Kluyveromyces lactis: one gene and its partners. The protein of the gene in region 1 purifies or fractionates together with the protein of each later gene. This does not show direct contact. Links are inferred from orthologs where the notes say so. Each region holds a gene or a part of one and is shown on either strand. Other genes may lie near its edges.

Region 1 (3,497 bases):
TCTAAATTCGAAGCTAGGTTAAGTAGAATTTTCTCATGAAGTAATTTAAGTTCGTCATCAGTCTTAGTCATTCGGTCAACGGTGCTGGGTCCCTTTAGTCCTGCTTCTCATCACTTTTCACTATGACCATTACGTTTGTTGACATATTTTAAATATACAGACAAGTTCATTTTAAGTGAAATTACATGTTTTACTTCATATTCGTTTCGAGTTTTAGGGTAAAGAAGAAAGCAATCTACTCGCGACAAAACGCCAGAGCAAGCGATCATTTACTCGTGGATAACAACCCTTCAGAAATTTCATCGTATTGTGTTTTTATAATGGTATGTTTTTTACTATGCCTCTACCCTCTGGTCAGGTGAATGACACCTTTACTAACAAATGCTAATCAAATAATCATTTGGAAAAATAGGAGAAAGAGTTCATGAACCTCACAGGATGCACGTACTCTGTTGCACAGGAATACCTTCGAAAGAATGGAGGGCGTGTCGAGTACGCTTTGAACGATTATTATGATAATGTGGATACCATTGGAGGTATGCGTCAATCTTACAATCCCAGTTTAGTGGCTATCTTTGAGAAGTACTCGAATGGCGTTTCGGCAACAGAATGGGACTCTTCTGGGCTAATACGGTTTATTGAAGACCTCGGTATATCGATAGAGGACCCAATCACGCTATGTCTTTCTCAAATGCTATGCATCGACGATTTAACAAAACCAGTATCTCGAGAACAATTCCTAAATGCCTGGTCAGATTTATGTTGCGACACTTTAAGAAAGATGAAAGCCTATTTACATACGCTAGAAGAGAGACTGGAGACGGACAAAGATTATTTCAAATCAATCTATTCCTACACTTTCCCATTGAATACAGACGAGGGATCTCGTCATTTACCTAAAGATGTCGCAATAGAATACTGGAATATTTTCTTTAAAGACAATAAATATGCGTTGAAAATCTCCAAGGAGAGACTTAATTCATGGCTTGAATTCATCAATTCTGACGACTCGGATCCAAGGAAACAGAACATCTCAAACGATATATGGTTGATGTTCTATAAGTTCATTGAACAATACCCCAATGACGAAAGTTTAAAACAAAACTATGATGAAATGGCTGCTTGGCCGCTACTTATAGACGAATATTACGAATTCTTGGAAGAAAATGACAAGCTGTGATGCAGCGCAAACACCTATATCGCTTATGAACATATTCATAGATACATATATTCATATATACGCATTGTGTATGTTGTCAGGGTAACACTTGTCTTCCTATTCCTTTCAGCATCAAAATTCAAAAATATTTCAAAGATCAACAAGTGAATAACAATCGAAAGTAGTTGCCGCGAGGTTAAAGCAAGGGCAAAACGGGGGCAAAGAAGGCCAGCACGAGGGTATTTCGACACTTAAAGTGGGCTTGCGGTGTGCATTTCGGATTACGAACCAAGATACGGACAATGTCAGGCCAAGCAGGTAATGTACAGCTGCAGAACCTCACGCCAGCTTCTATGCAGCAATTGGCGGATAGACTAAAATCGTTAGTTAACGAAGCTAAGCGAATTGGTGTAGATACCAAGGAAGGGAAAGAGCTATTGAGACAAGCGGCCCGTATTAAGGCTTTGTACGAGGCTTACAGTAAACAGAGGCAGCAGCAGGCCCAAGCGCAGGCTGGAGCACAGGGAGCTGTAAATAATAATGCCACGAATGTTAAATCCATGGATCAGCAGCAACAGCAGCAGCAACAGCAGCAGCAACAACAAGCTACCGCCAGTTCCAATAATGTGACGAATAACATAAAGGTCTTATTAACTCCTCAACAGCGTGAAGCTTACAATAGATTGGTTCAAAAGTATGAGGATGACGGTCAGAATATCAAGGGAGAATTCAACTTTTTGAAGAGAAATATTAGTGTTTTGGACCAAGAGATCAGGAATAGACGAGGTAACAGTCTATCGGTGCAGCAATTAGAGGTTAACAGGAATGAATTATTAATGAAAATCAGGGCATTGAGTGCCCAGTATTCGACATTACAACAGAAATATCAAGAGGACAGAAGAAAGTTTTACATTGAGTGTTCTCAAACTAATGCTGACTTAAGAAGATATCTACAAGCACAGCAACAAAAAGCTAATGCTGCTAAGTCACAGGGTACAGTAGCTGCAAATGCAGGTACACCGGGACCTCAGGCTGGTGTTTCTACTCCAGGAACCAACACCGGTACACCAATTCCAACAAGTTTGAATAAAGCTTCGAGTGGTAGTCCTCCAAATGCTATGGCGCAAAGACAAAATATACCAATTCAAAAGACCGCTGCAACTACTGCAACTGCAACAAACGCAAACCCGAGCTCAGCAGCTGCCGCACCAAATAACACAGCTTCTGACAAATCGTCCCCAATGCAGGTGACAACGGTGAATGCAGCTGCAAATCAAACAGCACAAAGCAATACAAGACCACCAATCTTCAAGCAACCAAACCCATCGATACCAATAAGTGAAAATGTCACCGCATCCCCAACAGTTTCAGTGTCATACAGAAGCAACAGACCTACGATAACAGGCGGTAGTGGTATGAACGCGCCAGCGCTAACTACACCTGTTATGACCAAACTACCGCCATATGAGGTCGATACTGAGCGTGTGATGTCTAAAAGAAAGCTCCGTGAACTCGTCAAAACGGTGGGTATAGACGAAGGTGATGGTGAAACCACCATTGATGGTGATGTGGAAGAGCTATTACTCGATCTAGCAGACGATTTCATTACTAATGTTACGAATTTCGCCTGTAAATTGGCAAAACATAGAAAATCCGATTCACTCGACGTAAGAGACATCCAAATGCATCTGGAACGTAATTGGAATATCAGAATCCCAGGGTTTGCCAACGATGAAATCCGTAGCACCAAGAAATGGAATCCAACCCCTTCGTACAATCAAATGGTAAATGCAATCAATAACAATAAAACTGCACGTACACATCCCGAAAAGAAGTGAAATGGATAAATTACCACTGTTTAAACAAGTTCATTCATTCAAACAGACTTAATTTGATGCATATATTATACATCATATATCATATATCTATTAATGTAACAATTCCTCAAAATATTGAAAATGGAGAAGTGGATGAGTACCTACAACAATGCATAATCAAGTCCAGGGAAACTGATTCTTAATACTCTTTGTCCTATTCTGCCTGTCTCATATATGTATAAACCACCCTTTTCTTTTTCATGGCTTCAAGTTGTATTTTTCAAAATTTTCCAAAACGTTAAAAACTATGGAAGGTCATCTCATCTCATCGCATAATGCTGTTCAAGAACAAGTATAACAAAACTTATATACTATAACCCTGTGTAAGATATCAGTTATTGCTACTATTATCCGCAGTGTGGAGTTTAAATTGATACACAATGGTTAAATCGTATCAACGTTTTGAACAAAGTGGTCTTTTTGGGTTAATTTCTACTTCAAATCAGTCGATCTATCTTCCA
Region 2 (2,624 bases), on another chromosome or scaffold:
TAGATGTACTTTGAAATGGTGACTTAAACTTGTTCATGTGGAACCTGAAGTCTCTCTGAATCAATATAATCAATCAACCTCCATACCCATTGTTCTACTATCGAATACTTCTGCCACCAAAAGATACATACATCTTTGTTCGCTGGGCAGGTGGTTAATATCCGGAATAATAAAGGCAAAATTGGAGCCTTCATCAGTTTTAGAACCAGATTCACTAACAATAGCACAAAACACAGTTTTGTTATTGATTTAAGTGTCACTTTGTTAAAAAGGTACACCATGAATCATATACAAAATATTCGACAATAAGAAACTAGAACTATGGTATTTAATGTCTGTCGCGTCTGATGCGATAAATCACAAACAGGCACCGCTACTAGTTCCTACATTATCTCAATGTGATACGGTTTATTTAATGTTCTTTCATAATTTTTTTTTCTTTATTGTTACAGGCTATGGAAAATTACATACATTTCGTGAACGTGATATAATTAAGAAACTCATCGTCTAGAGGGGAAAGGAAGAACTAATCTTCTTTCCACCTCAGTCTCCTTGTCTATTTCCTCTTCACCGTCGAATCGTAGCTTACATGTCCCATCTCTTTTGCTTCCGCAAACAATAGCTGGATAGAAAGTCGTTGTTTCTGGATATCTTGCCAAAACTTTTGTATTCGCTGGATAATTCGGAGTCTGGGTTCTTTTCATAGTCACGGGCGGGATCAAGAGGATCTCTTTCGAGTTACATTTGAATATACCACCTGGTTTCCCAAATTCATCGGGTTCTGGATCTTTCACTTCAAACCGGAGTCCGTCCCCAGAAACTTTTGTGCATATGCACTGGATCCATTCGCCAGTCTTTTTAGATTTATATGCAACTTCGGAACCAACCTCAATTGGTTCACTTGGGTTGAATTGACTGGTCCAATGTGATCTACCAACAACACTCGATTCAGGGATATGCGTCGAACTGGATTCCTCCTTTAATATAGGTTCCTCTTCCACTGGATAATTATCTAATATGTATGAAATGTTCTCTACCAAATCTCTGCAGTAATTTCTCATCTTTTCATTTACAGACTGACGAGCCTCTAATTTCTCATGGATATCAGCCAATTGATTCAAATTCATATTCTGGAAATTCATATTCTTCGGATCTAAAGACTCAAACCCCGCAATATCTCCTATTTTATATAGATCTTGTAATTGAGTCACGGCAAGACCCCATCTATCTTCCGTTGCCATTTTCGCTAGAATCACTGATATATTTTGTTTTATTTTTTTTTTATCTATGGGCTGTCGGTTCTTAGTATTCCTATTTCAATTAGATAATATGGGCTTCACCAGCACGATAATTAATTTGGGAAACTTCTATAAATGGACGTCCTGTTTATTCAAACGTAAATCTGAAAGGTGAAGACTTCTTTTCGATGCAAGCAGTGTCGGTTTCTTGATGTTTTGTACTTAGAGAAATATGAGTTTTTCGTGCTGGAAGAGAACATCAAAACGTATATAGTGATGGTAGATCTTTAATTGGAACCTCAGTTTCGAATAACTTTGACGTGAATTAGACGTTTACTCCTTCTCAAGCATGAAAAATTCACTATGGTATCGAAAGAACTCTCAGCAATAGATGAAATTGGTAAAATGTATAAATCAATACTTTCAACTCTTAAACAGTCAGTTACACGAACCTTCGAAGGGCTATATCTTGTTGGATTTCGTTGTTACCCTACCTTACAATCCGCCATACTGTGGAAAATTTTTGTCACTAAAATCCTATCTTAAATACATTAAGTACAGATACACGCAGAAATACAGTTACTGTGACATTGCTTGATACTGTTCGGACCAGGCCTACGAAACAACGCATAATGTTCTCATCTTCGTGGCAACAAGTTCCCAAGTTTGTGGTGCAGCAGGTGCGTACTGCAACCAAGCGTGCAGCAGGTTCTCGTACCAGTATGAAGGACTCTGCTGGTCGTAGATTGGGTCCAAAAAAATACGAGGGTCAAGCCACTCAAGTTGGTGAGATCATCATGAGACAACGTGGTACCAAGTTTTATCCTGGTGAAAATGTAGGCATCGGTAAAGATCATACGCTTTTCGCTTTGGAGCCGGGTTATGTGAGATACTATTTGGATCCATTTCATCCAGGTAAGAAATTCATTGGTGTATCATTATACAAGGATGTAAAGCTTCCTTTGCCGCATTTCGAACCACGTTTGAGAAGATTCGGCAAGGCCATCATTGAGGATGAAGAGAAAGCCATTGCAGAAGAGAACGCTTTACCAAGAAAGATTTATTTGCTGAAGGATGAATTGATCAAGAAACAGCAAGAACGTGAGATTAAACGTGAAGAGTTGAAGGCAGAATACAGCAAGATAATTTCAGATCTGAAAGTTGAGCTGGATCAACAAGAACTTGCGTTTGCATTACCATATTTGCTCAGATGGAGAACTTGTTTGAAGAATGGGTTCAATGAATCCGATGCCCGATTTAATTCGTACTACTATTTGGAACAAGAACTTAAATTGAAGATGAGAAACCAAGAAAAATCTAAGTTGGACGACAAACTAACATTGTTGAAACAGGTCTCGACCAAATTGAATGAATCATTGTCATTTA
Region 3 (3,102 bases), on another chromosome or scaffold:
GCAACTGGTTGGTTACGACCATCCGATGCTGATGAATGGTCAAAAGTGTTGGATCAATCCGTAGACATATTTGAAAAGAATCACTCCTTATTCGAAGTTAACGGTCCTAAACGTATTAAGTACTATTTCTCCAGAGAAGCGATGTCCAAAAACTTTGATAATACCATCGACCATATTATTTGGAAGTCAAGAGGAACGCGTTTATGGAGCACATTAGCTCCAGGGCTACTGATGTTCACTGTCCAATATGCTACACTGTTGATAACAGGCGATGCTTCTTGGCCATATTTATTGCTAGCTGCGATTTCTTATTTTGTATTAAGAAGTGTAAAGGCCACTGTGTACTGGATCATCGTTTTCTGTTACCTAAACTATTCAACTTAAAAGCGAAGCCAATCTTAATTTATTATAACGACTTGTGCAAAATATATACACATACCCCTCAAAGTTAAGAGATGAAAAACAGACGTTAACAAGCTATTAAGTTTCTAAATATTACACTAATTAACTCTTCCTCCATATCCATTTACACCAAATTGAACACCAGGTTGATTTGAATTGCTTCGACTTTGAGTATTAACCGGTGAGCCTATTGTTTGCTGCATCAACTTAGAAGCCGTATCTAGTTGAGCACTGGCGTCTTCCATTCTTTTCTTCTGCAGGAGTTTCTGTTGCTGTTGTTGCATTATTAGCTGTTGAGTTTGAATATCCCGAGGGGTGATGCCCTGGGTCATCATGGGTTGTTGCCCTGCAGGTTTTCCAGCCTGAACTGACTGTGGAATTTGCATTTGCATTTGAGATAACGATCCGGTAGCACTAGATTGTCGTTGCCGCTGTTGTTGTTGCTGTTGTTGCTGCTGCTGCTGCTGTTGTTGTTTCAAACGTTGGGCCTGTAATATTTGAAGCTGTTCTGGTGTCAAGTTTTGAGGTGATGCGTTAATAGGTTGAGGCGTACGTATACGGAACGTATAATCAGTCGTTCTATCAATGTCAATAAGACCGACCCTTGAGCGGAACGCACCAACTCCAGGGCTCTTAAAGCCTGGTTTTATACTGAAAGCAGACCCAAACATTTCTCTCATTCTGACGTACTTGGTTCTTGATCGTGTAGAAGTCAATACCGTAGTTTCTAACGGTAGTGGGTATGAACGTGAAACACCGTTCAAAACCAGAGTAGTCTCTTCTTCAGGGGACAATTTGGGTAATGACTCATTGACCACTTCATTGCTGCTGGTTTTCCCAGTGTTTTTATCTTTCCCCTTTTGTTTAACTTGTGGATCCTGCTGATTTTGCTGTGCCTTTTGGATTCTAGTCTTGGACGCCGAAGATTTCAACTGGTTGCGTTTCTGATAATCAGCTAATAATATGTCAAATGGCTGTGACCGTCCCTCCACTGCACGTTTCGCTCCCATTGAGTGCGATTTACATGTTAATGATCTACCGCAAACACCACCTTCAGGTAATGGTACACCACACTGTTTATCGAAGTTAACCAGATGTGGCTCTGTCGGGTTTCGCTGTTTTATCTTCCTTTGTTTTCTAGTCGATCCAGAAGGAGTGGATGATTTCTGTTTCTTTGAAGGTGAATCGAAATTCTCAGGATCTATCGACGAGGATCTCTTATTACTCCCCTTACTTTTAGCAGGAGAAGACATGATATCCTGCGTCTCATTCTTTTTCACAGGCATTTTATCAATACAGTGATTCTCTAAATGATCTATAATAGCTGACACCAATACCGGCTGGTGGCAAGCTGTACAATTCCTATAACGGATATCCTCTTTAGAAACGCCAGATAAAACTTCTGACGGCCTGCTCAAGTATTTTGAACGAATATCCGTGGATGATAAATCCGAACTATTCCCGTTATTCTTAACAATAGACAGTAACTCCTTCCAACCGTTCTTGCTACTTCCTAAATCTTCTAATTGAATGTCTGATCTGATTCCTTTAATCTCTATATTGACACTTGACATGCTCTTGTACCAAAATCAGCCAGGTAAAAAAAAAATGATAGGGAGAATTACGATGGAAATGATGAATGAATTGAGACAAGCTAACAATGATCAAACTGTCCTTACCTAGCTTTCAAAAATAAACCAGAGTCTATCGGTGGTAATGCAAATTGGTGCCTAACTATGGTAAAAATAGCACGTTAAAAAAAAAGAATCTGGTATGAAGTGAGCCCTCAATATTGATTGTACAAAAGTAACTTTTGTGGCAGGTAAATAACACGTTAGAACTATCTCAAAAGCCTTTTAAAATCTTTGGATCACCCGCTCTAAATACTTTCAAGCATCTGAATTCATGTATTATCTTATGAAATGTTTCTGTCCATCGGTATGTTATTCCTGTCGAAATCGTCGACTTTCAGAAAGGGAAACTTGAAAGTTCTTACAATCACGTGATATGACTTAATGGAATGTGTCAATCCCCCACACACCAATTGGTCCGTCGATAATCGAATTGCAAGCTAAATATAACATATTTCAGGATATTAACTTCCTATGGTATGTGTGTTATATAGATTGTCTACGAAATGAAATGACATTTAAATGAAGTGGATTCTTCTTAACAATAAAACGGTTACTTTCAACAAGGTGATATCATGGAATACTGGGACAGTGGCCCATCTTGAGCTAAGGATCCTTTCAGCCACTTCGAATACCCGAAGTCTAAGGTATAGTCTAAAACCTTCAGAGCTATTGAAAATTGGCGGTACAAACGGCACTGCTTTCCGAATGTACTCATCTCGAATTGACACTGAAGCTACCGGATCATCAACGATAATCCCGGTAATGGTCATACTACTGATATATTTGATGTCAATTTCGGAATTGACGGTCCAAAGGTATACGGCAAGGTTGTTTTCTTGCAAGTATGGTAATACAGTTTTCTTGAAATCGGGTTTCCAAGAGTTAATGAAATGAAGACTGACACCATGCAACTTGTAGTTGTCATCGCTCAAGGATTTAGAGTATTCGACAAATTTAGTAGCCATCGCTGTGAAGGGTAAGATGGCCACGATCTTGAAACCCTTCAGTGTGGCCGTGGTGACCCCGTATTTGTACCAATCAAGTTGCCACAATCCGAACATCAAAC
Region 4 (3,055 bases), on another chromosome or scaffold:
AATAGAGCAATAGAGAATTATCCAGATAACAACTGTCCGACTTTGATTGTTTATTACAAAGGTGATGTCGTAAAACATTTGGTTACACTACTCGAACTTGGTGGAAAAGATACTAAATTGGAAGATTTTGAAAGACTTATGGTTGATATTGGTGCAGTAGACGAGAAAGATGGTAGATTGCTAATGAACCACGAAGATGATTATACTAAACAAGAAAAGAAACAGAGATACGGTCATAACAGTATAAGATCAGGTATCAAAGGCAAATTTAATGTTGGTGTTGGTAGAAATGGCCGCAACGGTGCAGATGATGATGATGATGATGATTTCTTCGATTAGATAGAATACTATATATATATGGGTCTGTATATTGAAAAAAAAGATATAAAGGCAATAATAACACGTCGATTGGTGTGATGTTATTTGGGTTTCTTTTCTGACATATATATACGGAAGCCACCTAGTAAACCAATTTAGGAGTTTTTCTTCTTTTAACATATTCAACGAATAATGTAGAAAAGTAGATATGCTTGTTGTTCCAATACTTGCTCTTCCGTTACTGAAGTGACAACAGAATCATTGAATTTAAACCATTGTCCATCTTCAGTTTTACTCACCGTGGTATAATGACCTTGATCAACCGTCCCCTGATGGGAGACTACATTTAGTAGATCATATGCAATATTAGGAATATATTCATCTTCAATCTGGAATAAATGGGGTTTTAGATTTAAATGCAATGGAAACTGTACTCTATCATTTAATTTTGCGCTTTGACCGTTGAGTTGATGTTCGAATCTTTTCAACTGTATAACTAATACGTTAGGAGCCTTATGCAACGTTAACTGTTTCACCACACCCTGGTTCTGTTTACAGCTTTGGCATTCGTAGTGAAAATCGGTTAATGTTTCCTCTCTTTGGAAGTGATCTAAGCAATCTTCTAATTTAGGGTTATTTTTGATCTCTAAGGAAAGGTCCATGATTGGATCTATTGTGGTCTTTGAGAATCCACACTGAGAACACTGTAAAGTGTTTTTAAGATATCCTTGGAAGATTCGATGCGTGATACATTGACAATCAGGGGCCTTTGACGATCCGAATACTCGTGCATGATCCGTATGCAGTTGGTTCAATAAGAACTGCCAGTACTCATGTGCATCCTGTTGTGACGAGCCAACAAGATGATGATTGATATGCCATGATGCAGATAAAAGGTTTACAAAGCCTTTGCTAACGGAGGAAGACTTCCCTGTCCCAGGTCCATTCCCGTAAAAGTCACAAGCAATTTCATCCAATGCACAAGAGACGCACTTGGTTCCTGATTTAATGTCACAATTGTTGCAATGCTTATGAGATAACAGGTCCTCGACAAAGTATGGATTATGTATGATGGTTTGAATGATACTACTCATGAAACAGGTGGATCCCATGTTCACCAAACCTTGTAATCCATCTCTGTGTAAGCTAGCTGGTAGCTCGGTCTTTTCCATTACAGTATCCCATTGGCTAGCCGGAATTTCAGCGACCAGATCAGCCATGAAATCACCACATCTGAAACAGAACACTAGACCATTTGATGAATTAACCCCAAAGATGTGTCCCAATTTTTGAGAATGATCCAAGAAATGGTTGTTATTCCAGCACCCGCAAAATCCGCATTGCAAGCAAATGAAAGTCGATCCACAGCTAATTTCACCACAATCCATACATCTCATGGTTCTCATAGTTCTATTCTTGAAGTCTGCGTGGCGAAGCAGATATCGTACCGTTTCGCATTCTTTCAACACTGCGTCACCAAGCTTTTGGTTAGAAACCACTTGATTCATATGCGGACAAACCATAACTAATAAAAAAAATTTTGGCCAAGCACACGCACGAGCACTGAGAAATTTCAGAAAAATATCTAGCTGAAGTTCCCTGCTCGAGCTAGAGGATGACTAAGGCACAAAGACTTTGCTCCGTTTCCCCAAAAATTGTAACTGAATCTGATTACTAGATCATCATCTGTTAGAGTGCGAATTTCATATAATGAAAAGTTAAACAGAAAAAACTTGATCCAGAATCAAGCAAAAAAATGAAAAAGCGAAAAATAAAAGGAAGAAATGATACATAAGTAAACGGTAGATAGTATATACTTGTGGGAGCTCAGTGTGGTCATATACAGACTACTATCAGCCGGGGTGTTTGTAACCATACAGGCAAATGAGTGGAGGTGTCTACAGGATCTCTTATATATTATTAGTTTTATTTTTTATGAGTATCAAAATTAGCATGTATCCCGTAGTCATCCTTATGTAGTCATTTTGTACTCTTTCTCTCGAGAGGTACCTGGAAAAACCAGCTGCGTACGAAGATTTCTAGGAGATAATCCGATTCGCAGAGAAAGAGAGAGAGGGAGAGGGAGCTCATCGCAAGGAAAATTTAAAAAAAAAAAAAGTTCATCAACGTTTTCCAATTCTGTTCCAGTATTCTGAAGGGGAGTAGTATATGGGTAGGTATTTATGTCCGGTTTCTATTATTAGTGGATTTGGATTTAACACCGCTTCAGGCTGTGAGGTAGATAAACAGTTCTAGGGTTTTTAAAAAATGTCTAAGAAAGTATTGATGTTGCATGGGCTTGCCCAGTCTGGTCCTTATTTTGAATCGAAAACGAAAGGTTTTCGTCGGGTCTTAGAACCACTTGGATATGAGTTCTTCTACCCTACAGCACCAATTAATTTATCACCAGCAGATCTTCCTAGCGATGTTGCAGATATCGGCGCTGCTTCTGGGGATGACTATCACGCGTGGCTTCAACCGGATCCGTTGCATGGGGAGTACAGATTGCCCGACGTGACTTTGAAATTCTTGAAAGAGTACGTTGTCGAAAATGGACCATTTGATGGTATCTGTGGGTTTAGTCAAGGTGCAGGTGTCACTGGATATTTGATGACGGATTTCAATAACCTTTTAGGCCTCACGGAGGAACAACAGCCTGCTATTAAATTTTTCATTGCATTCTCCGGATTTAGGTTCAGACCTGAGATTTATCAAGAGCAGTACATCCAACATCCTA
Region 5 (2,209 bases), about 510 kb from region 1:
AGCGTTGCGGTTTATCGTAACAAGTTATACGGACCTACCTTCCACTGTTAGTAAGTACACTGTACTAAAGCTCAATAAACTCTGGAACAAGTTTATTGGTGTTCCAAACTATCTCGAAGAAGGAGAGGAGCTTGAATATCCATCCTACAACTACGAAGAATAGATTAAAAACCTCTCAAATTGTCATTTTATATGACAATTTGTTTATAGATATTAAGAACTACAGGAGAACCAGCTGAAAATTCCAATTATGAAGATAAAGGTGATTATGTTCAAATAATACCCTCTCATAAGCTATTCATTTGGTTAATATATAGCTAATAGAAAAAATAAACGTATATGTTGCCGCTAAGTATGCATAAATATGGCATTTTGTTCAGAAAGGCGTAATACTATAATGATAGAATTTATATGAGGATTGCTTTGTTTTTTCACTTCTTTTGCCCAGCAAGAGAAGGATTTCAAGTACAGATATGCTAGGGGTAATGCGAATGTAACTCTCAGCTTGTTTCCCGTTTCTTCTTCTTAGGAGGTTCATTTCCCTTTTTCCTTGGTCTGCCTACCGGACGTGAGGTAGGAACGGGTTCAGGAACCGTTGTCGTCTCCTCATCTTCATCAGCCGAAATGTGGTCATCATCACCGTCATCTTTCACTCGTTTCAAAGATTTCCCCTCTGAATTATCAAATTGTTTCCTGGCATCGGTAATAACTTTATTCATCTTAATCAACTCTTCAGCTCTACCTAATTTCACCTCGTCCTTTCGAAGTACAAATCTGAAATCTTCCACTTTAATCTTATTCCTCTTCACGGTTTGAGCCGAGTAGTACGCATTGGCACATATATCGCTCAAATAAGACACCACCAATTCGTCTACACATTGAATGGTCTCTGGTAAAGGTTGCGCGACATCACCAAACGCATACATCAAAGAGCCAACATCTTTACTGAAAAGACTTGTTTTACGAATTCTTCTGGACATTCCTGTGTTGATCTAGAACTCCAACCGACTAGTCAGCTCTACTCCATGGAATGGACGAATGCGCTATAAGCTAAACTGTATAGCTTGATCATTGTTTCGTGATTTTGATTCTGGTTCTGAGTTTTATGTCAAACTGTCAACTTAAACACAGCGAAGAATAGTGCGAGTTTGCTTTTTTTTTTTTCGCAGCAAAAAATCGCTTGCGTTTTTTTGTCCCCAAATATCATGCGCAGTCCATCCAACAGTTAAGCTATATAGGGAGCTTTTTAGCGAGAAAGAAATTGACAAATCGCCTAACCCTTCCGCTTGTGTGAAAATTTTGAGAAAAGACGAACAGAGGAAAGGACATGACAGATCCACATCGCATCTTCTGAGGATCAGATAAACAGAGCAATGATAATAAACCGATTAGTACCGCTCAAGATAAGGTTTTAGTAGATATTATTGTTCCAACAGTGGCATCATTTAGACGCTCATCTGCGTGTGGTTGATATTGAAGGTTTGGTAAATATTGGAGGCTATTTTTCCTTCACAGCGACTGTGAGTCAAAGAGGATACAAGCAGGAATGAAGCCTGCGAAGCCCAGAGTGAAGACGTTCACGGGATGCTGGACATGTAGATCAAGGAAAGTAAAGTGTGATCTTCGGCGGCCCGGATGTGAGCGATGTGAGAAAGGTGGGTTAATATGTGGAGGATACGATGTAAAACTTCGGTGGACCCGGCCAATTCAGTTTGACACTATGGGTAATGTGACCGCAACACCTACAGGAATCAAAGATCCAGATGAGCCTCAGTATCAGAGAAGAAACGTTGATTTCGTTCGGTACAAAGAGGAATATGTGTATTATGAGGATATGGACGATGAATTATCAGCGTTAAGCTCTCCTCCTTTAGAGCTCATCTCTGAAGACAAGACTTGGATTATAAAGAAATTTGGTGTGTTCAAAGGCACAGATAAGGTCAAAAAAAGGTACGTGCCACGGAAGAAACGTAAGAAGAATCAAGTTTTCATTAATGCCATCGAAAAAGCTCAGAAGAAACTAGCTAATAAGAAAAATAAGGTTAAAACTGCTGATTCAGATTCGAAAGAGGGCACAAATTTATGCACTCCAGAAGATATGGAATCATCATCTGCTAATGATGATCATACATCTGCGCAGCAGCTTCATTCCCTATTCGAATTCGATATGAATTCTTTGTTGTTTCCTGGGAACGAGTGGATCTCAAAT
Region 6 (4,237 bases), on another chromosome or scaffold:
GTTCTTCCAATAGTTTCTTTTGCTTCAATTGCCTTTCCTCTTCGTTCTCACCGCCAACAATGGTTATGTTATCGTTGATCAATTCATCAAGACCCAAATTACGCTCCGCCTCTTCACGCCTCTTTTCATACGCACGTAAGTAACCTTGAATGACCCTAGGGTCTCTGACTATAACAGTTTGTCGTTGAATGATACCGTTGGAATCTCTCTTCTTTCTAGTAATCCGTAACACTTTCTCGTCAGGTCTTGTCGAGGGAACATGCTTATTACTTTCATTAACGATATCTGGATCATCCATTTCTTCAAAGGGATTTTGAATGCTTAAAGACTTGGCTTGGTTATACCACGTCCTACTTATTTCTTCTTCATATGCTTTCTGTTGTTGCGCGACATTGTAACTATGACCACCAGCAATTTGCGGTTGATCCTTTGAACCGGATTTTACAAACCCACCCTTCATAGAGGTTTTCAAAAACGAAAAACCTTCACCACAACCAGTAGGATCACCAGGTCCATGTATTTGAATCATTGCTCTCATCTGTGTAGCATTCAAGAAATTCTTGGTAGCATTCCAAAATATTAAGTTCTCCTCCAACTCCTTAGCTCTTTCATCGAAGTTGTAGAAATCAATATCTTCCTGGAACTGTTGACCATAATACATGGATTCAACGAGTGAAACATCTTCAGGAGTAACCATTTTCTTCACGTTTTCGTTATCCAGTAAAACTTCTCCCTCCTTTAGTTTCCAGAAACCTTGATCATCACCTTCACGTTGATACTTCATGAATTCCTTTAATCTTTGTCTGTTTTGCATATCATTTTGTTCTGGGAAATGACGAGCCACCTGTTTCACTAACAGTCTGTTTTCCGGAGATTTGTTCAAAATACGATACACAACCATCCTCAAACGGTTCTTACCCATAGCAGTAACCTTTCTAGAATTCGGACCAGGAACTTCGACCACTGGGAACGTTTGACCGACAGCAAAGAGATGATTAATTTGACGCAAATAGAATCTGTTACCGGACCCATTACCAAGACTTTTCACCAGAAGGAAATCGGTCTTAGAGACCTCATGTTTGAAAACGGGGGCTCTGACCATATTGTTATATAAAGTGGGAACAATGTTTCCTGGACTGACGAAACCAAAATTCCAAAATGGTGATTTATCCTGCACACCTAATACATGAGTCTCACCAACGGGTAATTTTGGTCTGGAGCTGTCTGTTTCTCCCGTCTTTCTATAATAATTGATAAGCTTGTTAGCCATACCAAATTTAGATAACGCAACAGGTTGCTGTTCACTGTATTCCATCAGGAACACTTGAGCACTGTCACCAACAGTCAAGTCCGCAGAATGTTGGAAAATTTCGTGCACATCCTTACCTTTATCCTTCTTTCTCTTACGGGTCTTTATCTTACTGAACACTATGTTGGTACCAGGACGAATCCGTTTCCCGAAATGATTTCTATGAAAGTGTCTCAACTGATCTTTTGGTAACACAACTTTGTAGAATGGAGATTGTAGGCGCGTCGCCGGTTGAGAATGTTCTATATTCAAATTCGAAATTGTAGATCTGATCTTTTTTTGATAGTTCTTTTTCAAAATCTTGTAAGTGTCATCGTTAGAGATGTTGAACTTTGCTAGTAGAGATTTCTCATTATATGGTATTAGAGGTTTAACGACCTTTTGTGCCGATTCGATTTTATTCTCATTAGGCAAAATAAGTAATCGCTCATCATTCATATCAATTGGCGGTTCTTTAGCACTCACCTTACCATTTATGATATCATCTTCGTTCCATTCCCAGTCTTTCCCATCTTCTTCTAAAGTGTTCTCAACTGCTGGCGGATTCCTCTTGTTACTCGTCATTGGCTCCTCATTTTCTCTATCGTCAACAATTTTCTCATAATCCCATTCATCAGCTACAATGAGAAGATCTTCCGGTATCACTTCATCGTGCTCATCTTTCTTGTCATCTACAGTATCTTCTTTATATATCTCATCGTATGCTACTTTGATAACATTTCTTCGTTGAACTTCAGAGAACTCGCTTATAGCACTTTGCCAAGGCTTTACGCTTTTACTCCTCATCTTGAACAATTTTTTTGTATCCTTTTGAACTTGAAACTTCACTTTAATGGGTATGAGAGGTTTTAAAATTCTGTTTCGAAGGTATAACTCCCTTTGCCATTGATACTTCGCCAACGGTTTTGGAGCTATCTTGGTCATTCTTAGGACTCTACCCGGCTTTAGCTCAGGGAAATAAGACTGAAATAATAACTGTTCTTCCTTCGCATTTTGTTCCTCTTGTTTCCTTCGCTGTTCCTCCATTAACCTCCTGTGTTGCTCATCATATTCGTTAAATTGGTGTTGTTCTGGACCAAATGACTGATATGTGCTCTCCATGAACAATGCATTATTACCTTGTACTTCAAATCCAGCAGCGTCAACTTCATGCATCACATCACCATGGTCCATCAGAGTCATATATTCGTCGTCTTCAGTCAGACTCCGCTGAAACGACCCTTCATTATGCCTGTTCGGAGAATGGGATGGCTCTTCTTCCTCCGGTAATTCTTCATCTGCCAATTCATCTTCATCTTCAAAATCAATAGCATTCGGCAGATGCTCTGTTTCATCTTGCTTACCATTGCCGCCACCACTAGTATAATTACTAATATCTAATGCCCCAAACTCACCACCAAATAGAGCGTTATACGCATCATCTTCATTGCTGAAATCCTTCTTTGCCTTGCCTTGTTTCTTGCTTCCTGAGCTTCCAGCAACCCTAGGCATTTCGCAAAAATGGGTGTATTATGACTGGAATCAGATTAGAATTCTGTTATTGACAGAAATATTGGCTCACAGAGTTGAATGAACCTATTTAACCACCCTTTTTATGACTTCGAGCACTCTTTACTGAAATGTACATATCAGCTCTTCAACTTTGTTTAGATTTTGATATTGAGGGATCAATCCAGAGACCGGGTAACGTAATTTCAGTGCAATCCATGTAACATAAACCACTATCATGGCCCAGATTGGCCACTTCACTCGAATTAACAAGGTTATATGCAATGTGTAGCATGCACTCATCTCATTTACTGGCTTTTCGTTTCAATAAGTGGTTCGCTGACCTATTAATCGACCATTTTATCCCATTTAAGGTCAATTTTTGTTGATAATTCTGCCAACATGAAATTAAAGCCAAACATCAAGAGCTTAAAGCTTAACAGTGCGAGCAGAGATCTAAAGGTACAATGCGACAATCTTTTAGGTGTTAGATCGACTAACTCGGCCAATTATTTCAGCAAATTTACACACTGAGCCATATACTTAACAGAAAGTGAGAATGTCTTTGATAAGTAGGGCAAATCGTCTTGGAGGTTTCACGACCGATGCAAAGCATTGGGAATACGAATGGTCCACTACTGCTAAACAAAATGAAAATGGTACTGATGAGAAGGTAAAATATAAGTTCAAGCAATGGGTAAAAAAAGATCATCCTTTGAGAGATGTAGTTGAGGATGATACAGATGTTCTTAACTTAGATGAATTTGATAGGACGAAGATAGCTAAGAAAAATGCTCGTGTCCAGGAGAAAAGTGGCCCAGATTCACTCTCAATTAACGATATAAGAGGAGCTGTTGGTGGTTCTGACATTCCTGGGTTCTCAGGATCGGATGCTAAGAAAGAAGCCGAGAGTGAAGCTGCTGTTGAAACTCCTGTGGTTGAAACTCCAGCGGAAGAAACTCCGGCTGAAGATACACCGGCAGAGGTAAAAGACCAAGAAGGCGACGTAAAGATGGAATGATTCATTATATAACGATTACACCTATATACTGTAATTTTACTACGATTCATGGAATCCAGAATGTGGCCTGGACGCCCACTCTCGAATAAGATAAAGACAGTCCTTCATCCAAAGGAGGGCAAGCAGGAAAAACCATCACCGCTTTTGTTCTCCACATAGGACGTATGTGTGCGTTTGAGACATTACTATATAAAACTATTGGCTTTCATTATTCACGTTGTTGGTTTTGATAGTCATAAATGAGATGGCATCGCGAGCGGTTTTAATCGAAGCCTGTATTTCTGCTTCACGTTTGGATTTTTCCACTGCACGGTCTTCCTTATCAAGTTTGTTCAACTCACTCATTATTTTGATCCATTCTCTTGTATCACCAGTACCTGAACAGATTAGTAGCATAGCTGATGAAGGTAGATTTTCAT
Region 7 (3,707 bases), about 150 kb from region 1:
CTCAACAACACGATATAAAGTTAATCATTGACGAAATTTTAAAAGAGTGGAAAAGAATTCGGTCCGGACGTATCTCGGACGATGAGGTAAACAGAGCGAAAGCAAGATTAAAAGCCTCTCTACTTCTTTCTCTAGATGGATCGACTGCAATAGCTGAAGATATTGGAAGACAAGTAGTAACGACTGGTAAAAGGTTATCACCAGAGGAGGTTTTCGAACAAGTTAATAAAATCACAAAGCAGGACATTATAATGTGGGCAAATTATAGGCTGCTCAATAAACCTGTCTCTATGGTTGCTCTAGGTAATGTCAAAACGGTTCCATCTTTATCATACATTCAGACTAATATGAATAACTAAGTAACAAGTAAATATCATAAATCATAATTGCATCAAATATAGACAGGTACATTTATTCCACGTATTCTATATAATAAAGGGTCTAATTCCACTAGCTAGCACCAAAAACCAGCTTGACGCCAGTCTGTCAGTTATTTCAATTTATTCTTCTTTATTTTGTAGAGTTTCATTTAATTCTTCTTCCTTCCCGTTGGCATTATTGCTGAACACATCTGCTTCTTCTTCTTCCTCATCTTGGTCTATATCCTTGAATACGCTATCTCTTGGAATACGCTTCATGACTTCCGGTTTGTCAAACAAAGGACCAATCTTGCTTATCCATCTTTGTCTCTTATCCAACAAAGATTTTAGACTCGAGTTAGCGGCTTGTTGGTGAGCTGCCTGAATAGCTGCCTGAGATGTTGATCCGGTTGCTAATGAATCCGGCCCAGGTGTATATTGCCTCTTTTTCTTATTTTTCGGCGCACGAATACGTTTGATATATGCTTGGTCAACTTGCTTATCAAGATTGTCCAATATGGTACAGTACTCTTGCCATGCGAGCATCCTCTCCAATAACGGTAGAAGCATTGCCTTTCTTTTGGTATTCTTAGTAGTCACTTGACGTAGTGTACTCTGCAGCTCTCTTAGTTCAGCACTAATCTCATCATCTTCCCTTCCGGTCAACCAATCCGGGTCTTCACGTGTTTTTCCTTCTTCTCTCGGTAGATTCATATATATACCAACATACTTTAATTCCCTTTTCAAGCGTTCCTCAAAAGAAACATAATCAATATTGGAATTGTTTGCAATCGCTCCATGTTGTTTGAATATCCCGTATGACGAGGAGGATGATGGGGTAACATGTTCAAGCTCACTTACTGGTGTTGATACTGATGAATCGAGTGTGGGGTTTGTCGGTAATTCTTCCTTAGGAGCTATAATATCATCATCCTTCAGTATAGCACTCAAAAGCCTTGAGACTAGCGGGCCACAAGACACTTCTTCATTGTCAAGTACACCATCCGAAATGTCATTCCCTGATTTCTTAGGCAAGATACTAATAGGATCACTGATAGGTGGAGGAGTCAGATTCGCAATGTTTTGATTATTGTCTTCTTTCAACCACACGTCTGTGTATAGTGGTCCTAATTTAGGAATTGTGTATGGAGTCACTTCGGGGTCATAAGATTTCACAAACTGCAAATTTTGTGGCATGATGAATTTGTTTTGAAGGAATTTGATATCGTCATCATTGAATTCTCTGTAAAAGGCCTCGATGGATGAGAGAAAAGTATTAAACTGAATTTGGTTTGTGGGTTTAGGTTTCGAGAAATCCATATCAGGCAGCTCACCGGGTAGAAGTTCCTTTAAGTCATTTGTAGGATAGCTTACTACCCCGTATTTCTTTTTCAAATATTCCTCACCAGTAGCTTCAAGACCCTCCTCTTGAAACAAACCTAATCTCATTGCAGCAGCAGGTAACGTTTGAGATACTACAAATTCAGACTTGGGGTTTCTAATGTTAGGATCATTTTCCATTTTATCAATATCTAGCTTTGCTTTCTTTGATATGTGACCATCTGATGATAAAACTTCCGCTTCTTCAATAGTATCTTGTGGCCTTTTGTCTGTCTCCTCGTTCTCTTCTGTAATTGATCTTTTATCCGATACGACTTCGCTAGATTCATCAAGTTTTTTATTAATTGAATCATTTTCTGCGTTCTGGGCTGCAAGGTTTGTTGCAGCTTCTGCTTCCTCCTTCTCTTTTTGTTTCTCATCTTCGAGCCTTATTATATCTTCCCGCATTTCCTTGATTAGGTCTAAATTCTCTTGATCACTAGCTGCAATTTTCTCCAAACATTTTCCTAGATTTTCTAGTTGATCTTTAGTTGTTTGCAAAACCGGTTTCTCAGGAACCGACCTCACGTATTTACCGTTCAGTAAACCTATGTCATTCTCAAAAGTCAAGTCTAAAGACTTCAGCATCGAATTTAGAATATTCGACGGTTCATGTAGCCCAGCGTCATCTCTTTTCTGCTCTCTTATTCCTTTGCCTCTTCGCGTATTCCTTGACATAATATACCAGTGGTGTTTTACTGAGTGAAGATCTGGTTTAGCAATCTACTTGATTCCACCTTTGTCCACTGTTGACTATCGTTAAAAGATAGGCTGCTTTCCAGCTTTGGCAATATTAATGACTTTGTTCTGTTTGTTGCTTCGTTGTTTATCTTCCGTTACTTTGACAGATATTTTCATAGAAAATTTATTATCACGTGACCTCCGCCTTTTCTCTGCAAAAAATTTTCCAAGTTTACCAGAAATACCAATAATCCTCGATACAACACCAATCGGAACCAGAGAAAGCCAATTATATTCAAAGTGTTAAAAGGTCTGCGATAACGTAATCATCTTAGGCACTCAACAATGATTACTGGTGCTAGCGTGCAACGTACTGCATTCTTTTGTAGTAGACGTTTAAACTCCACCGTTACGAAAGAAGTTGCGACCATTTCCTCAACACTTTACAAGGATCCATCGAAATGGATCGGTTTGGATAGTAAAGATATCATAACGTTGCACAATGAAAGAAAGGCAAGACTAGGGCCCCTATATAAGCCTTGCGAAGAAGAGTTGAAAGCATTGTTACCCACTGCCGAAGCGTCTGGAATTCCAGCAAAACTTTTCAAAGAGTACTATCATAAGACACCTGAAGAAGTTGAGGCAGAAATGGGCATTGCAAGAGGTCTAGACGAGCATGTCAACTTGGATCAATATCAGTTTGATGATTTGCCATCACAATCACAAATTTTAGTTCATCAACATCGTGAACAACGTTTCTACAATCGTTTGGCAGCATTTGAACTTCCTTTACTTGCGCAGTATCGTCAAGAATATAAACGCCCTTCAACAAAGACTCATCCAGTAGCTTATCGTTATACAACATATCTTGGTGAAGAACATCCAAATTCTCGTAAGGTTGTCTTATCTGTGAAGACATCGGATCTCGGCTTGGAACAGAGGGAACTGCATAAGCTGCGTCTATTGGCAAAAACACGTTATGATTCTACTACAGATACTTTGAGAATGTCTTCTGATCGCTATGAAGAACCAGCTCAAAATGCAAAGTACTTAAACAGCATTCTTCTAGAATTACTCAAGGAGGCTAAAGATTTGAAAGACGACTTTGCTGATGTTCCTCTCGATAAAAGACATATCATCGCAAGACAATTGCGTAAGAAAAAGCGTGGGTACGAGTTCCCAGAAGAGTGGAAACGTCCACAAGATGCTCCAAGGAAAACAGTGGATCTTGTTGAGCTATTACACAAACAGCTTTGATCAACCTTTTAAAACACACAAAAACAACTG

What was found.
Region 2: the proteins of TAF12 (region 1) and SGF29 purify together in Saccharomyces cerevisiae (affinity purification with mass spectrometry; 5 studies listed by BioGRID). This does not show direct contact. The link is inferred for Kluyveromyces lactis from reciprocal best matches to the Saccharomyces cerevisiae genes TAF12 and SGF29.
Region 3: the proteins of TAF12 (region 1) and SGF73 purify together in Saccharomyces cerevisiae (affinity purification with mass spectrometry; 8 studies listed by BioGRID, with this or other methods). This does not show direct contact. The link is inferred for Kluyveromyces lactis from reciprocal best matches to the Saccharomyces cerevisiae genes TAF12 and SGF73.
Region 4: the proteins of TAF12 (region 1) and UBP8 purify together in Saccharomyces cerevisiae (affinity purification with mass spectrometry; 10 studies listed by BioGRID, with this or other methods). This does not show direct contact. The link is inferred for Kluyveromyces lactis from reciprocal best matches to the Saccharomyces cerevisiae genes TAF12 and UBP8.
Region 5: the proteins of TAF12 (region 1) and TAF13 purify together in Saccharomyces cerevisiae (affinity purification with mass spectrometry; 6 studies listed by BioGRID). This does not show direct contact. The link is inferred for Kluyveromyces lactis from reciprocal best matches to the Saccharomyces cerevisiae genes TAF12 and TAF13.
Region 6: the proteins of TAF12 (region 1) and TAF1 purify together in Saccharomyces cerevisiae (affinity purification with mass spectrometry; 16 studies listed by BioGRID, with this or other methods). This does not show direct contact. The link is inferred for Kluyveromyces lactis from reciprocal best matches to the Saccharomyces cerevisiae genes TAF12 and TAF1.
Region 7: the proteins of TAF12 (region 1) and NGG1 purify together in Saccharomyces cerevisiae (affinity purification with mass spectrometry; 7 studies listed by BioGRID, with this or other methods). This does not show direct contact. The link is inferred for Kluyveromyces lactis from reciprocal best matches to the Saccharomyces cerevisiae genes TAF12 and NGG1.

What each region holds. Positions count from the first base shown.
Region 1 is NC_006040.1:1,375,468-1,378,964, forward strand, and holds TAF12 (Taf12p), read left to right. Parts: upstream 1-1,461; coding exon 1,462-2,997; downstream 2,998-3,497. Other genes in the region: APC2 (anaphase promoting complex subunit 2), read right to left, coding at 1-71; NEDD8 ligase DCN1, read left to right, coding at 186-323, 413-1,180; snoRNA-binding rRNA-processing protein DIP2, read left to right, coding at 3,417-3,497. UniProt on the Saccharomyces cerevisiae protein: Functions as a component of both the DNA-binding general transcription initiation factor complex TFIID and the transcription coactivator SAGA complex.
Region 2 is NC_006042.1:1,140,852-1,143,475, reverse strand, and holds SGF29 (Sgf29p), read right to left. Parts: upstream 1,242-2,624; coding exon 501-1,241; downstream 1-500. Other genes in the region: MRP7 (mitochondrial 54S ribosomal protein bL27m), read left to right, coding at 1,871-2,624. UniProt on the Saccharomyces cerevisiae protein: Chromatin reader component of the transcription coactivator SAGA complex. SAGA acts as a general cofactor required for essentially all RNA polymerase II transcription.
Region 3 is NC_006038.1:214,243-217,344, forward strand, and holds SGF73 (deubiquitination module subunit SGF73), read right to left. Parts: upstream 1,977-3,102; coding exon 501-1,976; downstream 1-500. Other genes in the region: ALG2 (GDP-Man:Man(1)GlcNAc(2)-PP-dolichol alpha-1,3-mannosyltransferase), read left to right, coding at 1-384; PGC1 (phosphatidylglycerol phospholipase), read right to left, coding at 2,552-3,102. UniProt on the Saccharomyces cerevisiae protein: Component of the transcription coactivator SAGA complex. SAGA acts as a general cofactor required for essentially all RNA polymerase II transcription. At the promoters, SAGA is required for transcription pre-initiation complex (PIC) recruitment.
Region 4 is NC_006039.1:603,844-606,898, forward strand, and holds UBP8 (ubiquitin-specific protease UBP8), read right to left. Parts: upstream 1,842-3,055; coding exon 501-1,841; downstream 1-500. Other genes in the region: PLP2 (Plp2p), read left to right, coding at 1-339; KLLA0_C06996g (alpha/beta hydrolase), read left to right, coding at 2,587-3,055. UniProt on the Saccharomyces cerevisiae protein: Histone deubiquitinating enzyme component of the transcription coactivator SAGA complex. SAGA acts as a general cofactor required for essentially all RNA polymerase II transcription.
Region 5 is NC_006040.1:863,634-865,842, reverse strand, and holds TAF13 (Taf13p), read right to left. Parts: upstream 981-2,209; coding exon 501-980; downstream 1-500. Other genes in the region: ERO1 (ER oxidoreductin), read left to right, coding at 1-163; ARG81 (Arg81p), read left to right, coding at 1,547-2,209. UniProt on the Saccharomyces cerevisiae protein: Functions as a component of the DNA-binding general transcription factor complex TFIID. Binding of TFIID to a promoter (with or without TATA element) is the initial step in pre-initiation complex (PIC) formation.
Region 6 is NC_006037.1:879,454-883,690, forward strand, and holds the start of TAF1 (histone acetyltransferase), read right to left. Parts: upstream 2,801-4,237; coding exon 1-2,800. Other genes in the region: RTT102 (Rtt102p), read left to right, coding at 3,357-3,818; RNH70 (Rnh70p), read right to left, coding at 4,014-4,237. UniProt on the Saccharomyces cerevisiae protein: Functions as a component of the DNA-binding general transcription factor complex TFIID. Binding of TFIID to a promoter (with or without TATA element) is the initial step in pre-initiation complex (PIC) formation.
Region 7 is NC_006040.1:1,523,460-1,527,166, reverse strand, and holds NGG1 (histone acetyltransferase NGG1), read right to left. Parts: upstream 2,418-3,707; coding exon 501-2,417; downstream 1-500. Other genes in the region: MAS1 (mitochondrial processing peptidase), read left to right, coding at 1-359; RSM24 (mitochondrial 37S ribosomal protein mS35), read left to right, coding at 2,766-3,677. UniProt on the Saccharomyces cerevisiae protein: Component of the transcription coactivator SAGA complex. SAGA acts as a general cofactor required for essentially all RNA polymerase II transcription. At the promoters, SAGA is required for transcription pre-initiation complex (PIC) recruitment.